3 linked regions of the Rattus norvegicus genome follow. The protein of the gene in region 3 interacts with the protein of the main gene of each other region in a pairwise test. Links are inferred from orthologs where the notes say so. Each region holds a gene or a part of one and is shown on either strand. Other genes may lie near its edges.

Region 1 (5,590 bases), on a different chromosome or scaffold from region 3:
AGCCTACCCCAACTAAGGTCCCAAATAGATGCAAAGATCAAACATTTAGGCCAGTTAAAAAATTTGATGATCTGGACTTGGAGAGCTGCTGCCCCACCCCCATGCTTCCTGTGGCTTCTGCTATAGACTGGATCATCCACAACTGCCTGTCCTCTGTGAGTCAAGAGAGCTGTATAGAGTGGAGCAGGACTGCCACTGGTGGTCTTGGGGACTCAGGGCCAGCCACCAGGACACCAGACTTGCCTAGAGTGGTCTTGCTTGTGGGGTAGGGAGAGCTTAGGTCAAGGTGAACTGAAGCTGGTCAGGTTCTAAATAGATGAGCTGGTATTCACCCTCTATACACAATCCCCTTCTTAAAGGCCAGCAGTCTGCAATTCCCCCAACCTGAGCTGGTCTATTTCTATGCTGGTTTTAGCATTTACCTGCCGTCCACCATGGCAAAGATCCCCAGTCCATCCTGTCGACTGCCTGAGTAGGTGCTCAGCATGGGTCTCGCTGCAGTAGAAGACTCCTTACTTGGGTCTTCTACATCCACCTCACTGGCCAACACAGCCTAGCTTCTGCTCGCCAACAAGGGTGAGCCAAAAGCCTGCCGCAGAAGTGGGGCTGCTGCTGTATCATCCTACCCACACCCGGGCCCCACCTTGTTCCCTGCCCCCAGCACACTCCTCCTAGATCAGGTCCTCCACCCAGCCTGCCAGCCCTTCGTTGGACCTCTGTCTTAGAAGGCAAGTTTCACAAAAGCTGAGCTGTTCATCTTGTGTTCAGTTGGCATCCCTGATAGTTTGTAGTGCATGCTGAGCAATCACCAGTGATAGGAAAACTGAAGGCCATTCTCTGCCAACTAATGGGCACCCAGAACAGCTCCAGTCTGAGCTGGCTAAACAGTACTTCCAGTCTTTTGTCAATACCTGGCAAGGGCTGTAAGTCACCATGGTGAGGGTGGCTAGATCTTAGCTGACTCTTTGGGTCTTTTACCTCAGGGTGCACCTAACAGATCAGGTGTGGTGACACACGGTCTATAACCCCAGCACTTGGAAGGTTCAAGGTCATCCCTGGCCACATATCAAGTTCAAGGTCAACCTGGGCTATGGGAAACCCTGTTTAGAGCATTGCCAGGGTGGACATGTGACATTACATAGAAGTGGAACAGCTGTAGTTCTCACGCACAAAGAACATCTGCCAAGTGAAGGTTAGTCATTGTCTCCAAGGGCCTCCACCAGTTTCTGCCCCGCTGTCACTCAGGCCCTTCCTCCCCCCACCATATCCTTGTGCTGGATTAAGCTGCCCCTGGGCCAAATGGAATAATGTTGAGGGTGATGGTAGGCTTTTTACCTCGCCTTGGGAGGATCTGTAGTAACAAACTGAAGGGTTGGAGTGGGGCTTGCCACCTGTCACAGGAAATAGTAGCTGTATCCCTTAAGCCTAAGAGAAACCTAATCCTCTTTGTGTTCAAGGACTGTACCTTATCTAGGTACTTACACAGCAGGTATCTGGCACAAGGCCAGTATGAACAGGTGCAATTCTGGGCTGGCCCTCACTAACCCAGAGCCCCCTCCCTCCAGCTAGTCTTTACCTGTCTCACTACCTGAACAGCTCAACTCATCCAGGTAGCTATCGTATTCAACCCAGACCTTGTGCAGTCTATTAGAAAGAATGACACAGAAAACTTCCATGGCTACTTTCACTACAAAATAATTTATTACAGCAAACACAGCATCACAAGACTATGTACAAGCACAAAGCACCTGACTACCCTATTAAGGAACTCTCTTCTTCCCCCTTGCCTTACGGACCTCTTCTATCAGGTCTTTTAGATACTGAATCTCTTTGGCGAGAGAATCTGCCTTCTCTTTCAGAGCCTCGTTCTTCTTTTCTAGCTCTTTACACTCGCCAGTGAGGGCTTCCTGCTCAGCCCTCTTCTTCTGGCGGTACCTAGTAGCTGCTGTCTTGTTTTGCTCCATCTTTTTCAGCTTCTTATCCAACTTTTCAGTCTTCACTTTAGCTGTCACACTAACTCCAGGTGGGTCATAAGGTTTGGGTCGAGAACCACGAGGAACACCTGGAGAAGGCAGACTGTCTGGTGGGGCCCTGGAGGTGGAAGGGCTGTGTTGGGGAGAGCCCAGGTAGGACTCAGGGCTCATACAGATGCCACTGTCACTATCAGAGGGAGTGTCTTCCTCCTTTACACACTGAGGGGTTAGAGTAATATAAGCAGCAGAGTCAGGCTTCCTATCTCCTTCAGAGATATCAACCTCACTTCCCAGCTCTAAACTAAAGGAATGATCTGGAGTGGAAGACAGAAACCCTGGGGAACAGGGAAGAGGCTGCAAGAATGTAAAGGGGGCAGCCTGGTCGACTTTTATTACACTTTCTGGGAGATGGCCAATTGGGTTCACTGTCTGAGGGGGCTCCTTATTAGTCTCTTGGACTAGAGGGGCAAAAAGATCACATGTGTCATCCAACGTGGCCAAAAGCTCATCTGGCATGGTTTCCAGGTCATCCATTCGAAACAGAGCATCGAAGTCAAACTCTTTCAGGTCCATTTTCTCCAACATCCAATCTGTCCCGGAAAAGGCATCCTCTGGGGAAAAAAATTTCAGGAGAGAACGGTTCATACTAGAGGCAGAAAACCTTTAGAACACCAAACCCACATGAAAAGAGCACACTGGTGCAGGTGTCCTCCCTACTCACCCTTGCCGGTGTCTGAGGCACTGACCAACCCATCCATAGCCAGCCATTCTGAGGAGCCCGCCTTGTCGCTGGAGAACCCATGAGGTTTGAAGTGCTTGGCCACCTCCAGATAGTCATCTAAGAGACCTAGGCTTTCTTCAGCCCCCAAACCCGACTGGTCGAAGGGGGACATTAAGTCCCCCGCCAACACTTCGCTGTTCAGGAAGCTCATCTCGGTCATGTTGTAGGGATTTGCTGGTATCGAGGAATGTGCTTAACTCGAAGGTATCTTTGTCCGTTACAGCAACGCTGCTGCTGGGTTTCGTGAAGAGCCTGCATAAGGATCCAAAAGCAAGTTCAATCATCTTTCTATCTAGGATGCTGGATGACAAAATCCCAAAAGCTTCTAAATGGAGAGCACGTGGGCTCAAGGCCATTGTGTAAGCTTCCCCAGCCGCCAGCTCGGGTTGCACAAGATGGAGGCTTAGCTTTGCTTCACCGGCCACCCGGAGGAAGCAGCTTGTCCTCAAGTCCTAATACGGCCAAGGCCGTCGCGCCCCGCCCCCGTGACTCACACCCCCCCCCCGCCCCACCGCCATCTTGGCCTCGCCACGTTCGCAGAATGACACCGGGAACCCGGGGGGGCGCGAGACGACTAAGTTAAGAGAGGACGAAGAGGAAGTAGCAGGGTTTTAGGCACTACTCCCTCCACGCCGCCTGCCCAACCCTCCCCGTGTGCGCCGGCGTTGCGGGGCCACCCAAACAAGGCCGACGCGTCTGGCCGCTTGTAAAGCCGCGTATGCTGGTCAACGCGCCCAGGCCGCACCCAAACACAGCAAAGCACACGCCCGCGCAGTCGGCCCAATACTCACGCCATGGCTTAAGCCGGTGGGGGTTGCCGCTGCAGAGCCTGGTGCTGCTGCCGCCGCTGCAAAGGCCAACGCTGCCGCAGGCTCTGCTGCCTCTAATACGCCATGGTGGCCGCAAGCCCTGCGGGAGGGGAAGAGGAAAGGAACAGCGTACAGAGAGACATCTACCACAGAGCAAGCAGAAATGGCGGCGACACGCCCTAAACCCGCCTTTTATAGAATCGGTGAGGGACGCAGTACACCCCGTATCCTCCCACCGTGGTCACGTGATCCCGCCGCCGCTCCACCTAACCCTATCCCATTGACGCTCTGGCCCGTCCAAACCCTTCTCCGCTGTGCTCGGGGAGTAACTGGGGCGTTACAGAGTATCCTGAAGGCCCCATGAAGGAAGAAAAGTGCACTACTTTATAGGTTTGCGACCAACTGAAGTCACGTTCCGGAGTGCGGAGGGATCGCTCGTTACGGAACTTCCGGTGTCTTACAGGGCGTGGAGAGACACCTAACCAAAGCTATGACGGTCAAAGCCAAAGCTGCCTGGTTATCACGCGAGACGCCGTAGGAGCGCGCGTCGAGCTGATTGGCCCAGGCGTGACGAGTCATCTAAACCTTAAGTTTCTATTGGCTCTGAACCTGGGCGCCCTAGGAGCACTAATATCGGGAAGAGCCACCAGAGGTTCCGGGTACCAGACTCTTACAGCTACCGACTCATCAGAGGTCACCCCAATGTAGTTGCTCTCTCCGGCATCGCTCCCGGGCAGCTTTGGTCCAGCACGGAGCAAACAGCTTTCCAGGAGTGACACTTGGGCTGAAAGCCCTCTTTCCCTGTATTTGTTGTTCTCAGAACCAAATGGGCAGAGCTTTAGGCATATAGAAAGGTCCTCTGGAGTTACCTGGTCCAATCCTGTCAGTCCAGGGACCGCACTTTGAGACAGGGCGTTCATGTTGGGGCCTTATTGGGAGATACTCCGGTTCCTCCAGCCCTGCATCTTTCCTCTGAATCCTGTACTGGGAAAATATACCTAACCTTAGATCTAACCTACTCTAAAATATGCCCATCACTGCTGGTTTGTATAGGGTCAGTTCCCTTAATATTGTGTTTTATTCAGTTGGATCTCAAGCCCTAGAGTAGTTCTGATTAACTCCCAAGTCTTAACTTCCTGGTATAGCCTTACCAAGAAGTCATCCTGGTGAGTGAGCAGCTGCTTAAGTGGTTGGAAGCCCCAAGTACTGGTCAAGGACAACTCACCATAAAGGATGCTGTTTTGGAAGTGCTGAGAGGCCCTCTTCCCAACTCCAGCCTGCAATCTTTTGAGTTTCCACGTCTTTTTAAGTGACTCATACAAATACCACTCAATTGGCACAGTGCCCGCCCCTTACTGCTCAGTAATTATTTGCAAGCCAAGTACTCCAGTACACACAATCCTAGCACTCGGGCACCATGGTTCAAGGTCATCCTTGATTACATGGTTATTGATTGCTATTTATTAATTCAAACCTAATTCCCAAGTCCCTCTCTCCCTAACTCCATGATTCATCTTCCTTCCTCAGAGGACCTTTCATTATTATTTACTGAGACTAAAGCAACTAAATAAATAACGCACAAGGCCTACATAATGAGATGTTTCTATCGACAAAGAAGTCATGAGTACATGTGCACACAAACAGAAGTTTCCTAGTCTCTCCATGCAAAGGATAACTATGTCCTCCCTTTGCTCTGGAAACAGAAACAGGAGCCACAGTTATATTGTTAAGTAGACATCCCTTACATGTTTCTGTCCCCTAAGTGTAATGTATCCTACAAATGTTTTTTAACTTATGCTGAATTTGTAACCCCGTGATGTATTTGCTAAACTCCTGAACCTGTGATACATGACTGCCTCTTGCTATACAAAACTGTGTCTCCCCAGAAACCTTCCACATGGCACAAGCTTGCACTTCTTTTTATGGCCGCCTTTCTAACAGCTAATTATCCTGACAGCTGTTTCCTATCACATGCTTCTACCCCACAGGCAGTCTTGAGTCCCCCACTCTTCTGTTCAGGTGCTAAC
Region 2 (5,957 bases), on a different chromosome or scaffold from region 3:
ATAACTAAAAAAACAAAGAGCCATCTTGAAACCAAACAAAACCAGTAACAGCAGAGTGCTTGTGTACACAGGCCTGCAATCCCAGCACTTGGGCAGGTGGAGGCAGAAGGTCAGAAATGGAAACTTATCTATTTATTTATTTTTATATGAGTGTTTTACCTGCATGAGTGTGTGCGTGTGTGTGTGTGTGTGTGTGTGTGTGTGTGTGTGTGTGTGTGTGAACCACCCGTGTGCCTTTGGAGGTCACTAGAGCATATTGGTTCCCCTAAGACTGTTACAGACGGTTGTGAGCTTGCATGTTGATGCTGGGAATTGAACCTGGGTCTTCCAGAAGAACAGGTGCTCTGAACTTCAAGCCAAAGCTTCACCCCAGGATCAAAAGTTTAAAGTCATCTTTTGCTACATAGAGAGTTTGAGGCTAGACTGGGCTAGAAGACCTATTTTATAACAATGACCCCCTTCCCTAACTCATTACCTAGTGTAGGCTGGCCTTGAACTCCTCATCTTCCTGGTTCCTCTTCCCCAGTGTTGGGACTATAAATACTTGTCCTTATATAGGGTTTGTGCTTTTGTGGTACTAGGGTTGGAGCCCAGGGCCTCATGCTTGCCAGGCAAGCACTCTACCAACTGAGCTATAACCCTAGCCCCATCTTTTTCATGATGTAGTCTAGTTGGTCTTGAACTCAAGATCCTCCTCTGTAATCACAAGTGGGTGCCACCAGGCTGGAGAAAATGAATCTTTTTCTTTTCTTTTCTTTTTTTTTTTTTTCTTTTTTCTGTTTTTCGGAGCTGGGGACCGAACCCAGGGCCTTGCGCTTGCTAGGCAAGCGCTCTACCGCTGAGCTAAATCCCCAACCTTTTTTTTTTTTTTAAAGGGCATCAGATCCCCATTACAGATGGTTGTGAACCACTATGTGGTTTCTGGGAATTGAACTCAGGACCTCTGGCAGAGCAGTCAGTGCTCTTAACCACTGAGCCATCTCTCCAGCCCATGAATCTTTTCACATGGACACTGGAAGTGTGGGGAGAGAAGCGGCTTTGTTGGGGTGTTCACTGACTGGCAACTTGAGAATAACATGTTTTCCCAGTTCAAGCCAATGATATATAAGAGGTTTAGAACCTGGTTCTAAGGCCCTTTGGGTTCAACACCTGATACAAAGTAACAGTACTAATTACATAATGGTGTGACTTACATGAACTCAGACACAAACAATATCTTCGAGCTGTACATACACTCTAAAAGGCATGACAGTGCTGCATGGAATGGCCAGAAGAATCAGATGTGAGAACATATGAAGAGTGTGAAGACTTTATGCCTGCACGTTGTATGTGTAATGTAGTTATATGTACACAGAACTTACGTAAATGGCAGTAGCATATATTTAGCCAGAAGACAAATGACATTGCTATCTAAAGGGAGACGTCAAACTGCAATCTTTTTGAGTAATTCAAATATCAAGCGAACAATTTCTTTTGCCTCACCATTTTATAATAGAACACAATTGGAGAAAAGTAAGCCGGAGGGTGATATACCTAAGGGTTTGTTCCGGAATAGCGTGACTGGAGAGGTTAAGAAGAGATGGGCTACTCTGGTTGTATTTCCTGTCCCGGGATGGAGATTATTCTGTAAGAAGTAGAGGGATGTGCTGAGAGACCGTTCTATCTCCCTGTGGCACTCAGGATAACATATTCTACAGAAATATCACTTGACTTTGGCACAAAGGTAAAAAAATGACATTTTATAGGCATGCCGAGGGAAATGAATAATTATGCTATGCACCCTTCGTACACTGTACCGTTTTAAAAAGTCATCTCGCAAATCATTTCCTTTGGTGACTGCGACATCCATATTAGTAGGCAGGCCAGAGTATCATAGTCCCTTCTTCAGAGACTATGCTTCCAGAAACTAGGGCCTTGCACATTTGCAGAGCCGAAACTAACGCAACACCCCATTTCCCGATGCTCATTTCCCTATGACAGACTCATCTATCTTTTTATATATCTACGATCCAATCTTTCACTGACCCTCCAGGACAAGAGTAAACTTTAACTTCACTCCCGGCTCCATAACCCTTTATAAGCTGTCTGGAAGAGAAAGAGGAACCATCAAATGCGTTTCGAAGAAAACTGGGAATACTTGTCTTAGGCGTGGACCACAGCACAATGAGAGGTGTGCGTGGCAGTTAGCGTGGACGCTGGCCCCGCCAGTGCCCGGGACCGAGGGCGGGCGACCCGCGGGCTGCGGGGCTCTGCGCTCCTCCTTAACCCGCGCCGGGAGGCGGCGGCCGCGGCGGCGGGAGGGGGAGGGGCGCGGAGCGCGGCGCCGAGGCCGGGGAGGAGCCGGGGCCTGCAGCGGAGCCGAGCCGAGCCCGAGCCGAGCCCCGACGCGCTCCGTCCGCCTGCCGGCTCCTGGGAGCCCCGACCGGCTGGAGCCTCAGAGGCGGCAGCGCGGGGAGTTCCACGCGCCGGGAAGCGCGGCGGACAGGGGACGCGACCAGGGAGGCGCTGCCGCCCGGCAGCTGGTAACCGGAGCCGGGACCGCGGCCTCCGGGACCCTGCTGCCCAGGCCGGCCGGCCGGGCGGGAACGGGAGTGCGAGGACCCCACCCTTGGGGCACCCAGTGCCCGGACCTGCCCCTCTCCCTTGGGAGGGGGGACCCTCCCCACTCCCGGGACAGCCAGAAGAGACCGCCGCAGGGCACGCGGCTGTCCCTCCCACGGTGGCTCTAGAGGAGACCCCTAGAAGTCGGACCTGAAGGACCTGGAGTGAGACCTCACGCCTCAACGCACGCCAGACAGTTCGGGACTTTTGAGGCAGAGAGAAAGGGAGCCATGCCTGTGGAGTAGGCACCCCGCGTCCCACCCGGGACTCACCGCGGAGAGGCGTCCTGACACGCACAGCCAGGACCCTCCAGGGAACCGCCAGGAATTGGTTCCAGTTTGCTGGAGAGTAGAAGACCTCGCCCCTCAACTTCCGTGCACCCAGACAGTGGACCGGGGCCGAGCCCCTCCGCTCAGATCACCAACTGACAGAAAGAGCCCTCAGCCCCTGAAAGATCCAGTTTGGGGGGGAGGGGGATTCCCCCAAAGGGGAGGAGACAACTCCTGGCTGGGAGAGGCTCCTCCCCTCCTCCCTAGGGTAGCAGGCAGGGTGTGGGGGGTGTGCCATCTTCCCCAGGTAGGTCCTCCCTCTCCCCCTCCTCCTCCTTCGATTCCTCGTCCTCAGGGGACTCAGTTCCCCGCTCCAGCCTGGGAGGCTCCGCCAGGCACTGGAAGAGTCACTGAGGATGTCACCTGTCACCTGCCACTAAAGAGGGGAGTCCCTGCAACCTCAAACTTCAGTACCAGGTGGTTTCCTCCAGCGGCCGGGGGAACCTTGGAGACAGGTTAGTGCTTTCTCTTCTGTAGTCTTTAGACACCAGTAGGTATGGGGAGCTGAAATGGTGGATCTTAGGGTTCATTGGAAGAGAAGGTAGAGTAAAAGCCCAGACCCCGGGGAAATGTCTTCTGATGGAGCCATTGCACTGGAGGCCACATGTTGCTTCAGAGACTCTGAGAAGTGGCCTTTTTAGATTTTGGAGTCCAAAGGGATGGGTCATTTGCAGTCCCTAGAGAAGCTGATGCTCTGAACTGAGAACAGACAACAGGTGCGTTTTCAGGACGCCGTGGTGTTAGTAACTGAGGACACAGCACAGCCAGAATCCCACAGCACTGTCCATTTTTGGGTCTTGCCCTCTGGTGAGTGGACCTGTAGTAAATGACCTGCAGTCGTGGCGGACATTTTATATATTGTATTGTATTTTCCAGGGCATGCCTAGGTCGGTTTAATATTCAACAGGAACCTTCTTTCCAGTCTATCACAATGACTGCTTGCCTGACTGACTGGCAACCGGTCCCTACCCACTCTATCTTGGATGCCAGGAGGGAGGCCCCTACTTCAGGCTGGATATCTGCCTCTCTGTGTAAAAGCCAAGGGGAAATGCGAATCCTCATGTCCCGGGATGAGAAGAGACTGTCAGGGTAATGACATTGGTGGGCTGGAGTCTTTCTAGATACCCAATCTGCCTTAGCACCTAATGCCATTTGCTGACAGTTCCTCAGGAAAAAAAGTCAGATGTCTGGAGGAAGAGAGGACAGTGCTTCACAGCTGCCCTCCACTTGTCCTTCTGTCTGCACCAACTGACCACCAGGAAGGTCTGACCTCTGAGGTGTTTAGAGTTTCCTTCAGGAAAACACCTACTGGCCCCATCCTCCCTTGTTTAGTTCTGGGTCTCAGGAAACTTGAGTTGAATTTTTTTCTCCCTATTATAGGAAATCCTCAAAATTCAGAATCCTTAGAAAAAGAAGGGGAAAACGTGCTAAGAAATCTTCTTGGGTGCTAAGAAATAAAGCCAGGGCTTTATTTGTAACAGAGCTCTGACCTTTCACCTGAGGTCACTCTGCACTTCCTGTCTGGTGGTTGGACCATGTCTCATCTTCTGTATGGGGCTTCCTCCCCTTGGGTTTTCAGTCTCTGCCTCCCTTTATGGGCCATGGGTGGATTACCTGGCTTGCCCAAGTCTCTGCCTGCCTACTTGATCTTGGAAGGTCTGTGTAGTGGCGATGCATGAAACAGGGATGTAGTCCACAGTTTCAATGGCTATGCTGTAGAGTGATGTGCACATTTCTCAGTGGGAGTGACTGTGGCTTGGTGTCTGTGTTTTGAGTATGTACATGGAGAAGGCTATCCTGGTGGTTTTTAGACCGTGCTTTTGATCCCTTAGAACCATTTCTGGCAGGCCTGTAGAAGCAGGAGACTCTCTGCCAAAACCTAGAAGAGGTGAGGGTGCAGATAACCAGTTGGGAGGAAAGCCGTCCCCCTCACCCACCAGTGGGAATTCCCATGACACCCCCACCCCACCCCCGCCCCAGCCCCAGCCAAGTCATCCCAAGCAGCTTGGCAGGCCTTTCTCAGGTTGGACCTGTTTTCTTCCAGGACTGGTAAGAAAGCTTCATCCTGAGATCCTTTACTTCCATGTCTAGAACGGCCTCTCCTACTTTTGAGAGATGTGTCAGCCATAGCAGCGGTCTGTTTCTTACAAAGCACTTTACCAGATGCTGGAGTACGACTTCTGAGTGGCAGGCACAGTGTGGGCTGTGGTGTCGCTACTCCAGGCAGACCACTCATTCAGCTGGCTCTGCTACAAGTTCCGTAACTCTCTTGCCTCTCAGTAGTCAGTGAGGGGCTGCTTGCTTTTTTCCCCAGCCTGTATCTTATGACTGCACCCAAATCCCCTGAAAGACAGGTGATGATATTTCCCCGCTTCCTACATCCTCTGAGGCTTCTTGATCTTAATCAGACCTGGGCTGATGAACTCAAGGGAAATGTTTGAAATTCTGATGTCCTGACAGCCACGGCAACAGACTTGGCAACACGCTCGCTGCACGTCTGATGCTCTGTGATCCGCTGTAATTTTTGACGTTCTCTTTTCTTGAAAGATTTATTTCTCATGTGTTTGATATGTATATGAATATTTTCTCTACACATATGTACACCAGAGGAAGGCATCAAACAGAACCCATGGAACTAAGGTTCCGGATGGATGTGAGCCACCGTGTGGGTGCTGGGAATTGAACTCAGGACCTCTGGAAGAGTAGTCAGTGTCCCTAACGGCTGAGCCATCTCTCCAGCCCTATTGTTCTCTTTTCGTTAAAACTCTTTGGTGTTTGGCATTGAACTATGGGCTGCATCTGCGTGTTAAACACACTGAGACATACACCCGGCCGACTGATACTCCTGTTCTTCCTTCAAAAGCAAAGTCTCACTTACTAAGTGCTTTAAACATACTAAGACATAGTACATAATCCTCACAACTCCTGTAGGAAAGTTAATCTTTATTTCAAAGAATCTTAAACTGGGCGGTGGTAGCACACATGTTTAATCCCAGCACTTGGAGGCAGAAGCAGGTGGATCTCTTT
Region 3 (5,747 bases):
GGTGCTAAATAGGAAGGCCTGACATTACAACCAGACTTGAGTCAGACCAGTCTGGGTGAGAATCTCAAACCTCACCTGGAGCTTTTAAACAAGGACGAAGACTGGAAATTCTAAGAATTTTACATGTACTGTCATAAATTTCTTCCTCCCAAAACCTTTAAATTATTGTTTTTACACTTGATGTAACCCAAATGACTTAACTTATCTAAGACCACAAGGCTTAGCAACCCCAACCCTCCCCCAACCTCCTTCTAAGACTGCCCCTGGTCCCTGACTGTGAGAGACTTTGGGTCTAGTATTTAAGTGCTTGAATCTGGTTTTTTTTTGGGGGGGGGGCTCAGAAAAATAAGTAAAATCAGTTCAGTGCTGAGTAGAGAGAGAGAGCACCAGGCAGCGCAAACTGCTCGATACACGGTATTTATTATTGTTAGAGTTCCCAACTCTACACTCTACAGTGAAGGCTTCAGGCAAAGGGACATTTGGTTCTATAAATTACACGTTCTCTGGAAAACAGCCATTGCAAGCTCTAGGCAGCCAAAGAAAAAGGGAGCAAATTATAAGCAGTATTTATCTTGGATATGGTCTAGATCTCCAGAAGGGAGCAGTAACAGATAACCATTGCTGGTTGGAAAGCAATGACCACACTTGAGGGTAGGGGGCGCCATGATACTCCTCAGGACCACAGGGACCTGCATTCCCCAGAGGGACTCCAAACACCATTTTGCTACAAAGGCAAAGCAGACAATTTCTAACACACACACATGCACGCACATGACAGGGACATGACTACTAAGAGTTCTCCCATGGTTTAGGTCTAGTAAATATTTTTGTTTATTCTCAACACCTTTGTAGTCCTGCTCATATTATCCAATGACCCTTACAAGTCCAGTTTAAAGAAAAAAAAAATGTAATGAGGGTGTACGAATCCATAAGTGCAATGCATAGAAATTTAAAGTTTATTTAAAAAAAAAACAGTTTAAACTAAATGTACAAACTGGCAGTTGCTAAAATAGCCTGGGGGGAGTTCATGCTAGCCTGTCTACATGTGTGTATGTTTGAAATTCCCTCAATCAAAAGTTATAAATAAGTTTAAAATCAGTACAAGTTCTCTCTGGTTCTTTCCCCTGGAGCCATAAGCAGGAAATTAAGTCTATCTATATCAGTACTGTGGGAAGCAGTACAGAATAAAGGACACCGAGGGAGGAAAGGCATGTAAGAAAGAAAACAGGCCAAGCGAAAGGAAGCAAGGGTAGCCCCTATAGACAGGATGTGCCTTGACAATGACTGTATCACCAGTAAACTCCAAGTAAGGGACCCGAGGCCATGGGCGTCCTTACAGAAGTGAATCAAAGTTTTACATTAAAAAAAAAAAAACTATAATAGTTGTTTGTTGAAACTTGGTTTTTTGTTGTTGTTGTTTTAGTTTTGGTCCTAATTAGCCAGGAAATAGACCAATCTAGAAGTGGACTTTGTGAAGGGTGTGAAGGAGAGCTTTGTGCCAGGAACAGTCAAGACAGCCAGAGCCTGGATAAGACAAGATGCCTCTTCGGTGGGTAGGACAGATTCTCACAGCTAGCTAAAAAGTTACTTGGTTCACCCTGGGATCTACGGAGCTTGCTCTCCTCACCCTGGATGACTAAGTACTTTTCCCATTCCCTTTGAATTAAATTCTAGCTCAGGGTCCTCCTGTCATCCACTAAGTCAAAGCTAAATAATAAACTACGTTAGGGACCCGACTTACCATCAATTCTAATCTCCCTCAGAGAGGAAACATTATTCCTAAACCTCTCGGGGGAAATTCTTTAACAGCTAAGCTTGGAAGAAACTTTACCAAACTGATAGTGTCATTTGGCCTTTCAGGTCAAAGCCACGAAAGTGCTTACCAGTACAGAGGTGAAGCCCAGGGTTATCAGCGAGCTTATTTAGTGCAGAAACACTCCTGATGAAAACACAGATGATCCAGTCTACCACCAAACTGATAGAAGGGAAAAAAAACACCCTACTATCACTCTCTAACAGAATTCAGGTAACTCTGCACTACCTCCAAATCAAACTAACACTTAGAGATCAACACTTTCTCTCAGAGTTTCTTCGGATCTATTCATGAGGACGCGCGACGGAGTCCCTTCACATCCTCCGAGTCTGAAAGTGGCCTGCAGCTCCCTACTCTACGTGGGTCAATGCTCCTCAGCTGCCATGTTCTACCTTGCTGGGCACCAGAAGAAGTTTTCATGATTCTGAGAGTCCCTTGACCAGCAACAACAGATGGGCAAAGTTCTCTGAATTGCTCCTGGAGAGAGGGTTTGACTATCCTTATTGGAAGACATGGTCAGGAGAGAGACTAACCCAAAGAAACGTTACATGCACCGTCTCAACTCCTCCACCTCCTACTGGCCTACCTGCCAATCTACCTGTAAATGTTTTCAAGATAAATCATCACCATCCACTGCCGCATTACTGGCTACGTGAGCAAAAGCAAGCTTTCTACCCAGAGGTACTTCTCCACTCTCTTCATGAACCTTATCAGATTGTCTGAGTGGACTTTGCCATGAGTTTATAGGAAAAGGCGATGCGTGGGGCTCGGCACAGGAGAGAATTTTCACTAGGGCAGAGGAGTCTAAGAATTCTGGGCCCCGGGGCTCAAAGGCTGCGCGCAAAAGTGGAGTCTTACTTAACCTTTTCGCATTAAACTCTTCCCTTCCACCCTACCTAACTCTACAAGCCAACTGACACAAGGCAAAAATTACACTTGCCTCTAGTAGAGTTAAGAGTGCCTCTGTGAGCTACTGTGGAGGGCAGTACCGGAGGGCTTTAAAGCAGGCACTTCAGATCATGGACACGCGTGTCGCAGTGTTTGGAATATCTTTTCCCTCCACCAGCCAGTAGTCCTTGAGGTCATCACCAAAACCAGAGCAATTCTTTCAGAGTCAGCAGAAGCTCATCATCACGAGACACCTGAGCCCCTTAACGTGGACTTTTGCTTAAGGAGTTAGGCCGGGAGGTGGAGGGGACGCAAGTAAGGCAGATAAGGCAAGCTGACTTCTTGGTTAAAAATCAAAGTTCGATGCAGCCCAGCCAAGGTGACACAACACTCCGAACGAAGGCTTCCCGTCCCCTGCGGCGCAGCTGCGGCTGGGCACACGCACGCATCCTACCTTGGACCGCTCCTTGACATAGTATTTGCCCAGGCGGCTCCCGCAGTACAGGACCAGCCTGTCGATGAGGGACAGGAGGAAGTTGATGGCCTCGCAGCCCTCCTCGTTGCCCCCGATCCACGTGATCTGGTCGCCTCGCAGGTGCCGCTTGGAGACGCCGGCGCGGGGCCCCGCCAGCTGGCCGTCACGCAGGGCCCCGTTGTAATGCAGCTGCTTGACTCGCTCCAGTACGCAGTCGCCCACCACCTCGCCTAGGAAGTTGTCCAGGTAGCAGAAGCCGACCTCGTGCAGACAGGGCACGATGTACTCCAGGGCGATCTTCTCCAGATCCAGCCTCATGATGTGTCCCAGAGGCATCTCGCTCACAGAGCCGAGGCGGGGGACCCCCAGGGTGCACGCACCGAGGGCTTGCCCAGAGCGAACGCACAGCGGAGATGCAGAGAGCCGGGCCGGGGGCTCTACCACCTGCGGCAGCCACGGTCCCCGAGCCACTTTAGCTGCAAAGGCGGGGAAAGTTGCTTGAAACTCTGAAGAGAAGGGAGTCCCGCTCTGAGACCGGCAGGAGTAGTGTAGAGTTCTGCCACCCAGCGCCGGACTGGCCCAGTGAGAAGTCGGAGGGCCCCTTTTGGAGATGCGGAGCCACCGCCGCGGCGGCCGCAGCCCGGGGAGGAACGAGAGGAAGCCCCGCCTTGACCTCAACGTCATGGTCCCGCCCCCGGGACTGCCCTCCTCCTGGCCCTTCCCCTTGAGCTGGTGCTGCAGAGCATCTGGGCGAGCTCCACATTAGCTAACCTGTGTGTGACCGGAGAAAGGACTGGATTTTTTTTTCAATGCTCTCTGTTTGCATATTGATTTGCATTAAATCCCCTAACAAACTTGAAAACCTGGATCTCAAGTCTGAGATTCACATGAACAGTTTTTTGCCACTTTCTGGGCTAGTCACCTCTCTGGTGACTTTATTTCTTAAACATTGAGGTCTAAGACCTATCTGATGTCTTTCCTTCCTCTCCTTTCCTCTTCTGTTTTAACCAAAACTGACTGATCCATTAACAAACAATCCCCTTGACCTTCTCCCACCCGGTGTGCCAGGCTGGTGTGTATCTCTGAGGAGGGGGTGGAGGACAGGGAGATAGGGAGGCACTCCGGGAAGGGACAGTGTTGCCAAATTCTGCAGACTTTTGTATTTCGCCCTGTGGGAGATGTTCATACTCAAGTTTTTTACTAAAAGGTTCTGAAATTCTCCCTCAAAATCAATCGTGTGCTCCCCAAAAGAAACACTGTTCCAGGTCTCTCTGGCTTTTACCACAGCAACTGGACTTGTAAGGGAGCACTAGACTCTATGTAAAAGGCTTAAATATCTACCTGTAAGCTGGTGTCTACACAGATTTCTTATGCCCTTTCCTTCCAAGTGAGAGAGAGGGAGAGAGAGAGAGAGAGAGAGAGAGAGAGAGAGAGAGAGAGAGAAAGAGAAGAAGAGGAGGAGGAGGGAGGGAGTCAGTTCACATCTTTACACATTTGGATTTTCATTTAAGTCAAAAGAAAAACTAAACGGGTCTTTCGAGCATCATTTATTATGGACAGCCTTTTTTGGTTTTATTCTCTTCCCCAAAACAATGGCCCCTCTGCTGACAGACTGGGAAGAAGCCTCTATTGTAGTTGGTGAGGACAAACAGGTCCTTGGGGAGTGGCAGTCAACCATGGAGGGTGTAAGAAGCTTTGAAGAAACCTAGCTAGCTCTATGGAGAACAGGGGCCCTGTCTGTGCTCAGCTGGCCTCTTCCAGGAGGAGGTGTCTTTCCTTCGGGTAAAGGCTCAAATTGCCCTAACTTCAAGAAACTGTCCAAAAGCCCACAGCAGCACTAGGATGATAGAAACCAGTGTCCTTGGAACATTGATGCCAGCACATGATAGATGGTTGGAAAATAGTTTCCTGAGACACTGATATCTGAACCTAGGCCCCGCAAACACCGTCTGGGATTTTAGACAGGAAGCCAGCAGGACAGGACCCTTTGCAAGAGGTACTGAGGAGCCTCCCAGGGTATCTATTCACTGGGACAGTATCGAGCAGAGGTCTAAGACCTCAACGGCCACTGGAGGGGGACAGTGAGAACTTCTGCAGGACAGCTCTCTTAGTCCCATGTCAGTAGTGGCAAACAAAGCCAAGGCTGGAGAGTAATTTATCTTCATTGGGAAGAGAATGGAAATGAGTTCCAAAGAATGAAAGGCCGTTTCCCTACTGTTATCTGAACCCCCATGTCTCTGGGAGCCACTCTGACCCTCTTGAAATCTATCTGCAGGGACACCTTGGGATAGGCAGCTGTGGAAATATTAACTTAATATTTAAATAATATTTCCATAATTTTAGAGCACAGTGGCTTCTAGTGTAGTCACAGCTAGAACTACTGTTCTTTCAAGCCTGATGCTGTTCTTGATGACTTTAGATCCAAAACTTGTGCCGATTAGGAAGGGAGTCTATCCTGTAGCACCATCCCTACCTGAAGGGCATTTACTAATCAACCACAGACCTGCCACTCAACTCAGGGTTGCCAGCACTGAGTGTGGTAGGGAAGTCAGACATACTGTGGCTGGTAGA

The links.
Region 1: the proteins of Egln3 (region 3) and Atf4 interact in a two-hybrid assay, tested with the Homo sapiens proteins (2 studies listed by BioGRID). The link is inferred for Rattus norvegicus from reciprocal best matches to the Homo sapiens genes EGLN3 and ATF4.
Region 2: the proteins of Egln3 (region 3) and Foxj2 interact in binary tests that used the Homo sapiens proteins (3 or more experiments, as listed by UniProt). The two-hybrid records come from large-scale screens. The link is inferred for Rattus norvegicus from reciprocal best matches to the Homo sapiens genes EGLN3 and FOXJ2.

The regions. Positions count from the first base shown.
Region 1 is NC_086025.1:113,682,820-113,688,409, reverse strand, and holds Atf4 (cyclic AMP-dependent transcription factor ATF-4), read right to left. Parts: upstream 3,730-5,590; 5' UTR 3,546-3,729; intron 3,007-3,545; 5' UTR 2,915-3,006; coding exon 2,695-2,914; intron 2,620-2,694; coding exon of another isoform or gene 2,585-2,619; coding exon 1,761-2,584; 3' UTR 1,671-1,760; downstream 1-1,670. UniProt on the Homo sapiens protein: Transcription factor that binds the cAMP response element (CRE) (consensus: 5'-GTGACGT[AC][AG]-3') and displays two biological functions, as regulator of metabolic and redox processes under normal cellular conditions, and as master transcription factor during integrated stress response (ISR).
Region 2 is NC_086022.1:157,716,643-157,722,599, forward strand, and holds the start of Foxj2 (forkhead box protein J2), read left to right. Parts: upstream 1-2,616; 5' UTR 2,617-3,385; intron 3,386-3,806; exon of another isoform or gene 3,807-3,913; coding exon of another isoform or gene 3,914-4,019; intron 4,020-5,957.
Region 3 is NC_086024.1:77,406,970-77,412,716, forward strand, and holds the start of Egln3 (prolyl hydroxylase EGLN3), read right to left. Parts: upstream 4,047-5,747; 5' UTR 3,861-4,046; coding exon 3,156-3,860; intron 1-3,155. UniProt on the Homo sapiens protein: Prolyl hydroxylase that mediates hydroxylation of proline residues in target proteins, such as PKM, TELO2, ATF4 and HIF1A. Target proteins are preferentially recognized via a LXXLAP motif.